2 linked regions of the Drosophila melanogaster genome follow. Each later gene encodes a partner of the first gene's protein in a complex. Each region holds a gene or a part of one and is shown in the gene's direction. Other genes may lie near its edges.

Region 1 (5,345 bases):
AAACATCATTAGATCGCGTTACCTTATAGCGCGTTCAATGAATGGTAGTTATGCATGGACAGGCATGGGAAAATGATGTTGAAGGTGTCGCGGCGTAGGGTAAATGTCATTAACATCATTAATATTACTGTGAGTCCTGCACATCATTGGATCAGCGAATAATGAAAACCCTTTTTCGTAAAATTTCCATTTTTATTATAAGAGAGTTTGGGAAAATCAAATGCAAATATGTTTATGGGAAAATATTACCTCTATGAAACCAAAGGATGGTTTCGTAACCTTATATACATACATATTATGTACATGAACTATATAAATTGACAAAGGTTGTGAAGCATAAATATAAATTAAAAAGTAATGCTTGAGTATTAATATTCTATTGATTTCCAAACGATTTCCCTTGTCCTATGGCTCCCTACATTGTCTTTCTACATTATAATTCTTTTGCACAGCTGTGTGTGGCTGACCCACCCAGAATTTCATGCTTGTCTGCTTTAACCTAGAATTATCACCTCCCAGTTGCTAGAATCTTCCGGTCATTGTTTGCCATCAAAGGAACAACCAGCTGATTTCAGTTGGCAGTTGTGACAAACTCACTGGAGAAAAGAAGTGAAAAAATGACAGGATGCACAGGCAGCTACCGCAGGATCAGCAGGATATCATGAGGGGGTTCTCTATACAGATTATAGATGGCCGATTGCCCAACTGCCTAGCGATATCACATGAAAAATCAATTTTCCCGACGCATTTCCATTTTCCATGCAATTCATTTAGCCTCAATTCCATTCAACTCATTGCGCAGGCGCAACTCGCCCATTTCCGACGCATTTTCCTTTAATTATGCGGGCATCGGATTTCGTATCAAATTAACGAATTATGCTGGCTGCCAGCTGTGTTGGAGCTAACGGATGAGGCAGTCCATCCAGCCATCAGCTCATATCCTTGTACTCGTAGTCTCGCAATTCTCGAAAGCAATCGCATTTACTTGTAGTCCTCGAAGGAAAGGAGAAGCCCAGGCAGATGTGAGTGAGTGTGTCTCTGTTCGTCGGCAACGGCACATTTCCCATATGTACTTAAGCCGGGGAATGCGGAACCCCGTCGTCCTATCTCCACCCCTACCCATCTTGCTACCCCCACTCCGGTCTCGAACCCTCCTCGTGCTGTCTTGAACTACAATTGCAACATTTGCGCGCGCTAAAATGAAAACATTTCCTTTATATACACGAGGCCGACGTCTTGACAAACACACAGATAAGACGAACAGGGGATCAAGAACTGTGGCACGAACTACCACCAAATAAAAAAAAAATTAGGAGTCGTATAACTCGGCTTACCTGAATTCTAGATACTCTTAAAAGAGGACATTATAGAAAATATATAATATTATATGTTTAATTTAAATTGAAAAGTGGTTAAGATCAGAAGAATTATGCCGTCTGCAAATGACTTGTCTAATATTAAATTAACATTAGAATGTTTAAGGAATATGAAATTTTTGTTCAGCTAATATCTAAAAAATCCAAAATTGTCGTGATATTATTTTCTATGTCCACTAATTATTATATTCAATGTTAATGTTATTAGATTAAAATGAAAGTCCTACGAAATGAAAACCATAAACCATTTTTCGTTTGAAGATCTCGGAAATACCCAACCTGAAATGTTGGGTATATCCCACATAGGTGAAGCAATGCAGGATCGTTGAAGCGACCCCTGCTCGAGCGAGGGTTGTTTTCTTTGCCTCCCCTGGGTCTATCTCGTTTCCACACTCTATCCATCCCTTTTCCACTCGCTGTGCCAGCTGGAGGCTATGTCTGCCTCAGGGATCTTGGACAGAAGGTGAGCTCAGTTAGGTTTTGACAGCGGAACGCGTAGGTACAGTGAAACGGGTAGCAACGGGATAGCGGGTTTAGTGTAGCACAGAACGGACCACAAAGTACAGATGAATTAAATACGACTACAGACTACTACCATATTGTTAAACAGTTTACCTAAAAATCCTAAGGAAAAGATAACCAAATTAAACCGAAAGTTAAAGTTGTGTTTATGTTTGATCGTTGAGTTATTGTTATATCGAAAGTTAAACGAGCGTTGTTAATGAGACATTGATACAAAATCCGAAAAGAATCGTTACCAAGTTAAACCGAAAGTCCAAAAAACAAATTCGAAAATGTCTTTCTCCAAGGCCAAGTTGAAGCGTTTCAACGACGTGGATGTGGCCATCTGCGGTTCGCCAGCTGCGTCCAACAGCTCGGCGGGATCGGCGGGCAGTGCCACGCCCACCGCGTCTTCGGCAGCCGCTGCTCCGCCAACCGTTCAACCGGAACGCAAGGAGCAGATCGAGAAGTTCTTCAAGGACGCCGTGCGTTTCGCGTCCAGCTCGAAGGAGGCCAAGGAATTTGCCATTCCCAAGGAGGACAAAAAGTCAAAGGGATTACGTCTGTTCCGTACTCCTTCGTTGCCGCAGCGCCTACGCTTCCGTCCGACTCCCAGTCACACGGATACGGCCACCGGAAGCGGAAGTGGCGCCTCAACAGCGGCATCCACTCCTCTGCATTCGGCAGCCACCACGCCCGTAAAGGAGGCCAAGTCAGCCAGCCGTCTGAAGGGCAAGGAGGCACTCCAGTACGAAATCCGTCACAAAAACGAACTGATCGAGAGCCAGTTGAGCCAACTGGACGTGCTGCGCCGCCATGTGGATCAGTTGAAGGAAGCCGAGGCCAAGTTGCGCGAGGAGCATGAGTTGGCTACCTCCAAGACAGATCGGCTCATCGAAGCCCTGACCAGTGAGAATTTATCGCACAAAGCTCTGAACGAGCAGATGGGCCAGGAGCACGCTGATCTTTTGGAGCGTTTGGCCGCCATGGAGCAGCAGTTGCAGCAACAGCACGACGAGCATGAAAGGCAAGTGGAGGCGTTGGTTGCCGAGAGCGAGGCACTGCGTCTGGCCAACGAGCTGCTGCAGACAGCGAATGAGGATCGTCAAAAGGTGGAGGAGCAGCTGCAGGCACAACTCTCTGCTCTTCAGGCGGATGTGGCTCAGGCCCGCGAGCACTGCAGCCTGGAGCAGGCAAAGACCGCCGAGAACATTGAGCTGGTAGAGAATCTCCAGAAGACCAATGCCTCCCTGCTGGCCGACGTGGTCCAGCTGAAGCAGCAGATCGAACAGGATGCCCTGTCCTACGGACAGGAGGCCAAGAGCTGCCAGGCGGAACTGGAGTGTCTGAAGGTGGAGCGCAACACCCTGAAGAATGACTTGGCCAACAAGTGCACTCTGATCCGCTCGCTGCAAGACGAGCTTCTCGACAAGAACTGCGAGATCGATGCTCACTGCGATACCATTCGCCAGCTGTGCCGGGAACAGGCTCGCCACACCGAGCAGCAGCAGGCGGTGGCCAAGGTGCAGCAGCAGGTTGAGAGCGACCTAGAGAGCGCGGTGGAGCGCGAGAAGAGCTACTGGCGCGCCGAGCTGGACAAGCGCCAGAAGCTGGCCGAGAACGAGCTGATCAAGATCGAGCTGGAGAAGCAGGACGTGATGGTGCTGCTGGAGACCACCAATGATATGCTGCGCATGCGCGACGAGAAGCTGCAGAAATGCGAAGAGCAGTTGCGCAACGGCATCGACTACTACATCCAGCTGAGCGACGCACTGCAGCAGCAGCTGGTGCAGCTGAAGCAGGACATGGCCAAGACGATCACCGAGAAGTACAACTACCAGCTGACTTTGACCAACACCCGGGCCACCGTCAACATTCTGATGGAGCGTCTAAAGAAGTCCGATGCGGATGTGGAGCAGTACCGAGCGGAGCTGGAATCGGTGCAGTTGGCCAAGGGAGCGCTGGAGCAGAGCTATCTGGTGTTGCAGGCGGACGCAGAGCAACTGCGCCAGCAATTGACCGAGAGCCAGGATGCGCTCAACGCACTGAGATCCTCCTCCCAGACGCTGCAGAGCGAGGTATCGTTGAAGGAGTCCTTGCTCCACGAGCTGCTAGCCGGCGAGGCGGAGACGTTGGCTAAATTCAATCAGATTGCAAACTCGTTCCAGGAGCGCATCGATGGCGACGCCCAGTTGGCCCACTACCACGAGCTGCGCCGCAAGGACGAGACGCGCGAGGCCTACATGGTGGACATGAAGAAGGCGCTCGATGAATTCGCCACCGTGCTGCAGTTCGCCCAATTGGAGCTGGACAACAAGGAGCAGATGCTTGTTAAGGTGCGCGAGGAGTGCGAACAGCTCAAGCTGGAGAACATTGCCCTCAAGTCCAAGCAACCGGGATCCGCCTCTCTGCTGGGAACACCTGGCAAGGCCAACCGCTCCAATACCACCGATCTGGAGAAGATCGAGGATCTGCTGTGCGACTCGGAGCTGCGATCCGACTGCGAGAAGATCACCACGTGGCTGCTCAACTCCTCGGACAAGTGCGTGCGCCAGGATACCACCAGCGAGATCAACGAGCTCCTGTCCGCCGGCAAGTCCTCGCCCCGTCCCGCCCCCCGCACACCCAAGGCGCCGCACACCCCGCGCAGTCCGCGCACCCCCCACACCCCACGAACACCACGATCGGCGGCCAGCACTCCCAAGAAGACTGTCCTGTTCGCCGGCAAGGAGAACGTGCCCAGTCCGCCACAGAAGCAGGTGCTCAAGGCGCGCAACATCTAGGCTATTCCTTTGTAACAACTACTCTATCGTACTATTATAAATTATATACCTTAGCTAAGATCCGATTCGAAATATAATCAATACACGTTGCACACAACACAGCCAGAGGTGTTTCTGAAATCTCTTTCGAGCACTCTCCGACTAAATTCCAAATCTGATTGTTTTCTATCTTTCGCGTTTGTGTTCTGGAAATATGGGACTTACCTAATCTCATAAAAAATATCATTTTGATGCAATGCATTTTAAGGCATGAGAAATCAAATAAAAAATCTGAAAAAGGTGTCTTGGAAAGTGAGACCTTCTTTAAAGCTATTTAAATTAAATAGACTCATCTTTGAATGTAACGAAAATAATGAGAATGCATCAATTATTTTTTCCATTTATTAGCCAATTTATTCATATAAGGTCAAATTATCTGTAAAAAAAAAAAAGAAATAAAAGGTATTCTGATCTAAAATGTAGAAGTGTACAGTATCATCACCTTGAACTTCGTTCTTAAAATACGTTATATCTTGTATATGCATTTAAAAAAGCCTGTACCTAAAGAATCAGGAAATTGTTTACGTTTTTCATACCAACCCCGTGCAACTCGTTTTTGATTTCGATGTGGTGGAATTTTCTCATGCTGAAACTCCTCGTTGAAGAATGAGAAGGAAGGGGTGTGGGCTGCCATGCAATCCGATGG
Region 2 (4,600 bases), on another chromosome or scaffold:
CCAAAAAAAAAAAATAATATGTACCTGCTTCAGTTTCTCGGCCAATTCCAGGGAGTAGTCCACCTTAAACTTGGGGAACTTGACATGGACCTCTTCCACGGTCAACTTGTCGGCCAAATCCACCAGGTTCACAGTCTTGAGCTTCTCGGCTAGGGCGTAAATACCTGTCCGCTCCTGCGGCAGCAGCACGAACATGGAGAGGTCAGAGTCCTGGTAGGGCATCTCCAGGGCAGTGCAGCCCAGATCTTCGAAGAAGCCATAGTTGAACTTGGCCTTCTGGTTCATGTAGTTGATTTTAACCTGCTCCTCCTCGCCCACCCAGAAGATATCCTCCTCGGTGCGCTCCTCGCTGAACTTGTGCGCCCAGCTGCCCTTGAAGTGGAGGGCATTGAGCAGGACCAGCCTGGTGTTGTCCGAGAACGAGTCCGCGCTGACCAGCTCCGTAATCTTGCCCTGAGTCTTGGCATTCACCCAGGCATTGATGGCCTGGGCGGCGGCATCGTTGAGCGCAAAGTTAATGGACTCCGCCTCCGAATGATACTGCTCCTTGATGGCCGACTGGTAGGCGGGCTTCAGCTGCTTGCCCTCCTGCACGTACAGCTTGTTGGCAACGCGCAGCAGGTTACTGTTGCGGTACTTCTCCAGCACAAACTGGAACGTTTGGGCCACCTCCGGCGGAAAGTTGGAGACGAAGTGCAGTGCCTTGGCGATCTCGTCGGCGGTTTCACCCTGCGATCCGGCAAAGGCCAGGGCAATGCAAGTTTGGATGGAGAAGGGCGAGAAGACGACGTTCTCCTTGAGCCCGCCAGCGCTCAAAAGCTGAAAAAGTTCGCTGGTGAAACGGGCACCTCCACGCGCAAATTCCAAATTGAAATCGAACATATTGACGGACTGAACTGAGTAATTGTGGGTGTGCTGCGTAATCGCGGAACTGCGTGTGCTTGCTCTCTGGTCTGCTGTCTACACCGGAATGCCTTAAATGCCATTCGGGGCCACAACAAAAGTGAAAACATCGGCCAGCCGGCGAATGAGTCACAGCCAAAATATTATCAAAACAATCGAAGCGAATTGGTGGCGTCATCATTTTCATGATCTAGCAACCTTGGGGGCATCCCCGGGTTCATCCCAAAAATAAAAGTAATAGGGCGTTCTTTAAATAGCCACTGTTTTTCAGTTTTTGTTTGTCTGATGATAAAATTCTTAAAAATATGTTTTTATTTTTAATATTATTTTGCAGTGTGACCTTAAGCATTGGCGCCTAAAAACGCTGGCTTTCTGTCCAACAAATACTAAAATACACTTGAACAGGAAAACGCATGCTGTTGTTTGTTGTTTGTAATTCAATCAATAAGCCTGTTAGTTAAATATTTCGTAATTACAGATTTAAATAATTTCGAATTAATATTTATGCCCTTTTTAAAGTTATCAATTTCGATAGGCATAAAATACCAGATCGACTATTGTGCAGCCCTGGCGCTTCTGCGCGCGCGCTTTCCAACACCGCCGTACGCAACCACCCCGCTTCCCGCTCGCCTAAAAGCCATTATTTTTCGAGTTTCATCCGCAGCCACAGTGCAAAATAGGTTTATCAATTTAATTTAAGTGTTAAAGTAGTTCTAAAGTGTTTTTTAAGTTGCGCAAACGATCGAGGCCAGCCCGCATGAATGGATGTGCATGTGTCCATCGATCGAACGGAGTATTTGCATTCAGTTGTTGTGATTTTCCCGTGACCATTGCGTACGAAAATCGTTTTGGGAGCGCAAGAAGGTGAGTTGCGTCTGCAGATCGTTATGCCACTCTCGTTTCGGATGCGGACTGGGAATCGGAATGGGGTTACGGAACGGAATGGAAGGGAAGGGAACAGAATCCATGGATGTGTGGATCTGGGTCTAGGTCTTGTTCTTGGTCTTGGTTTGGGTCTGGGTCCTTGAACCCCTGCACGGAATGCACGAAACCTGAATTGCGCACTGCAGCTGCATTTTATCCGATTTCACCAAGAACACACAGAGGCATAAGGCAACCGGAGGGCCGTAAGAACCAGAAAAGTGCAACCAGGAGTGGTTGCTTGGCATCGGCAACGAATCAGTCGATTTGAACCCTTCTACCCGCCGCCTGTCACAATTTGATTTAGGCCGATGTCGTCGCTTCAGTTGCATTTCTATGTATATATATATATATATACGCATATATGTATGCACACACATATGTATGTATGTATATAGGTAGATACGTGTGCACCATGTCCATTTGCATTTCGCATTTATATGCCCCGCATGCAGTTGCAACTTGTTTACGCACAATCGCCGCACAAAGAAACACCTCCAGGGCCCTTTGTGCGGACAGGGAAAACATTGTTTGTGTCCGTCTCATCCATGTTCCTTTTCCTCCTTGCAGCTGCGGTCGCTGGTTCATACGGGAGTCCTAAAGGTTACAGCTCAAGAAAATGCAGCACAACGTTCATGCCGCCCGGCCAGCGCCCCACATCCGAGCTGCGCACCATCACAGCCACAGCCATGCCCACATGCATCTGCATCCCGGCATGGAGCAGCACCTGGGCCCCAGTCTTCAGCAGCAACAGCAGCCGCCACCGCCGCCCCAGCAGCCTCCACATCGCGACCTCCACGCACGGTAAGCCATCTATGTCGTTGACGCTATCAGGAATAACAATTAAACCAGATAATGCTTCATCCTTCAGTCAAATAAGAGTAGTATCAGTTTATTAAATTGTGATACCTTTTGGAGTTCGGTTCCAATTTAGCAGTTCTAACTATGTTTGGAGTTAAACAAGATGGTACGCCTTGTTGGTTCAGTTTGTTTTCGGAAATGGTTATCATCCCCTTCATTCAATCGAAACTCCATGTAAACAAGAAGGGGTAACATGGGTTAAATAGGTTTTCCAAGTCTAGAAGAATTCCCATCTATCTATGTACAGGAAGGAACTTTTAGATAGGTGTGTTATTAATATGGGATAACATCTTATAGAGTTTCCTAATCTAGATCGAGATCTCAGTATAAATTGTTTAGGCAATAATGTACCACTAGCCACTGGTTGGATCTCATGGACTCAGTGTGAATCTCAGGTGAGGAAAATGTATCTCCCTGGCTTGGTTGGATCCTAGAGAGATTCCACATCGACTCGAAACGCCAGCTTGTCTGAGCTTTATGCGTTGCGGCAATTATGTTAATTCCTGTCACTGACAATTGGTGTGAGACTCATCATCCCATTTTCTCAACTCATAAATTATAATTTCAGTGGCTCTTTGTTCTTTCGCGCTCAGCATGACTTCCGCTCGATGATAACGGGTTTGCCCTGCCGACTGCGCTGCAATTATCCTTGACGTTCGCGAGTATCCTTCGGCTCGGCCTCCAGTAGTTCAGGCTCCTCGTATTGTCTACGATCATATGTTTCGCCAAACTCTCTGCAAACTGCTCATCCAGTTCCGCATTCAGTTGCGTTTTGCCTGCCGGTCGGATCGGGTCGCACATGAATTTATTACCGACGTTCGCTGATTCTAACGTACATTTGCGTACGATCTTTTAACGATCATGATAGACTTTCATCAGTGCCAAGTGAGAGGTGAAATATGCAAGAAGATTAAAGTTATAGAAACTGAAGCGGGATCTAATAAGTTCGCAAGACAATAAATTAAAGAACTCGTAAAGATAAGAGATGAGATTTTGCAAATGAAATCAAATCCTCTTAACCATATAACTTGCAAGTGAAAGGTACGAAAGGAATAAACTTCAGATATTACTACAGATTTGTATTAGCCTGAAATATGGATTATCACATTGCTCAGACTTGTTTTCAAAAAAGAGTGTCCATAAACATTAAGAGCATTCAATTAATTACCTTTCCCTTACGCAGGACATTTTTATCGCATATCAACTGATCCTAATCACAAATTGCCCATATCAATGTTAATTTGAAGGCTTGTTTCCGTACTGATTTAGCGATTATAAATTGCCAAAAATATTTCCTTGTCTTGTGAAATGTACGAGGCTGTAGGTAAAGGTCGCTAGAGTGCTCTCCTACCCTCGATCATTGGGAAAGGAAAGGTAGGGAGCGGTTGCAGGAGCAGGGTGTCGCAGTAGGTGCGTCTCAATTGAAACTGACAGTTGGCGAAAAATGACACGATGCGTAAGAGAATGCGGCTTTTGTGCTTTGTTAGGATTTTGTCCATTGTTCGGCGTGGTCGCTGTTGTCTGCTATTCCGCAGGAACAACAACATACGGCAGAGGGTTGGGGGGGGCCACGAAGCTTCTAGGACCTCTCTCGTTGGTGTTTTTGTTTTTCCCGTGCGCCAGTCGATGTACACTTTTGTCTCGATGGCCTCTATAATCCTCTTGGTGTGCATTGTTTGCTGATATAACCGCAGAAGCCAGCGCATCCGCCCCAGGAGCTCTTACTTGTGGCCATCGATTAACCAATTTGCTTGCTCTATCCTCCGTTTTGCAGTCTGAATCATCACCATCTCCACGCTCAGCAGCAGCAGCAGCAACAGACGTCGTCGAACCAAGCCGGCGCCGTCGCTGCGGCTGGGGCTGCCTATCACCACGGCAACATCAACAGCAACAGCGGCAGCAACATCTCCAGCAA

The links. Proteins that work in one complex are often made in the same cells at the same time.
Region 2: the proteins of mira (region 1) and stau are in contact, whole or in part, in a crystal structure (PDB 5CFF), measured with the Drosophila melanogaster proteins. Residues at the interface, in NP_477292.1 of Drosophila melanogaster: Asn514, Tyr515, Leu517, Thr518, Asn521, Thr522, Ala524, Thr525, Ile528, Leu529, Arg532, Ser536, Asp539, Tyr543; in NP_476751.1 of Drosophila melanogaster: Tyr972, Pro973, Lys974, Asn976, His977, Asn978, Glu979, Phe980, Leu981, Ile983, Pro990, Pro991, Gln992, Ile993, Cys994, His995, Val997, Asn1011, Ile1015, Lys1018, Leu1019.

What each region holds. Positions count from the first base shown.
Region 1 is NT_033777.3:19,931,499-19,936,843, reverse strand, and holds mira (miranda), read left to right. Parts: upstream 1-1,845; 5' UTR 1,846-2,170; coding exon 2,171-4,660; 3' UTR 4,661-4,810; downstream 4,811-5,345.
Region 2 is NT_033778.4:18,122,722-18,127,321, reverse strand, and holds the start of stau (staufen), read left to right. Parts: upstream 1-1,542; 5' UTR 1,543-1,767; intron 1,768-2,394; 5' UTR 2,395-2,443; coding exon 2,444-2,628; intron 2,629-3,448; exon of another isoform or gene 3,449-3,577; intron 3,578-4,459; coding exon 4,460-4,600. Other genes in the region: Spn55B (serpin 55B), read right to left, coding at 25-882. UniProt on the Drosophila melanogaster protein: RNA-binding protein which forms ribonucleoprotein complexes (RNPs) that play critical roles in the localization, translational repression and turnover of RNAs during embryogenesis, neurotransmission and neurogenesis.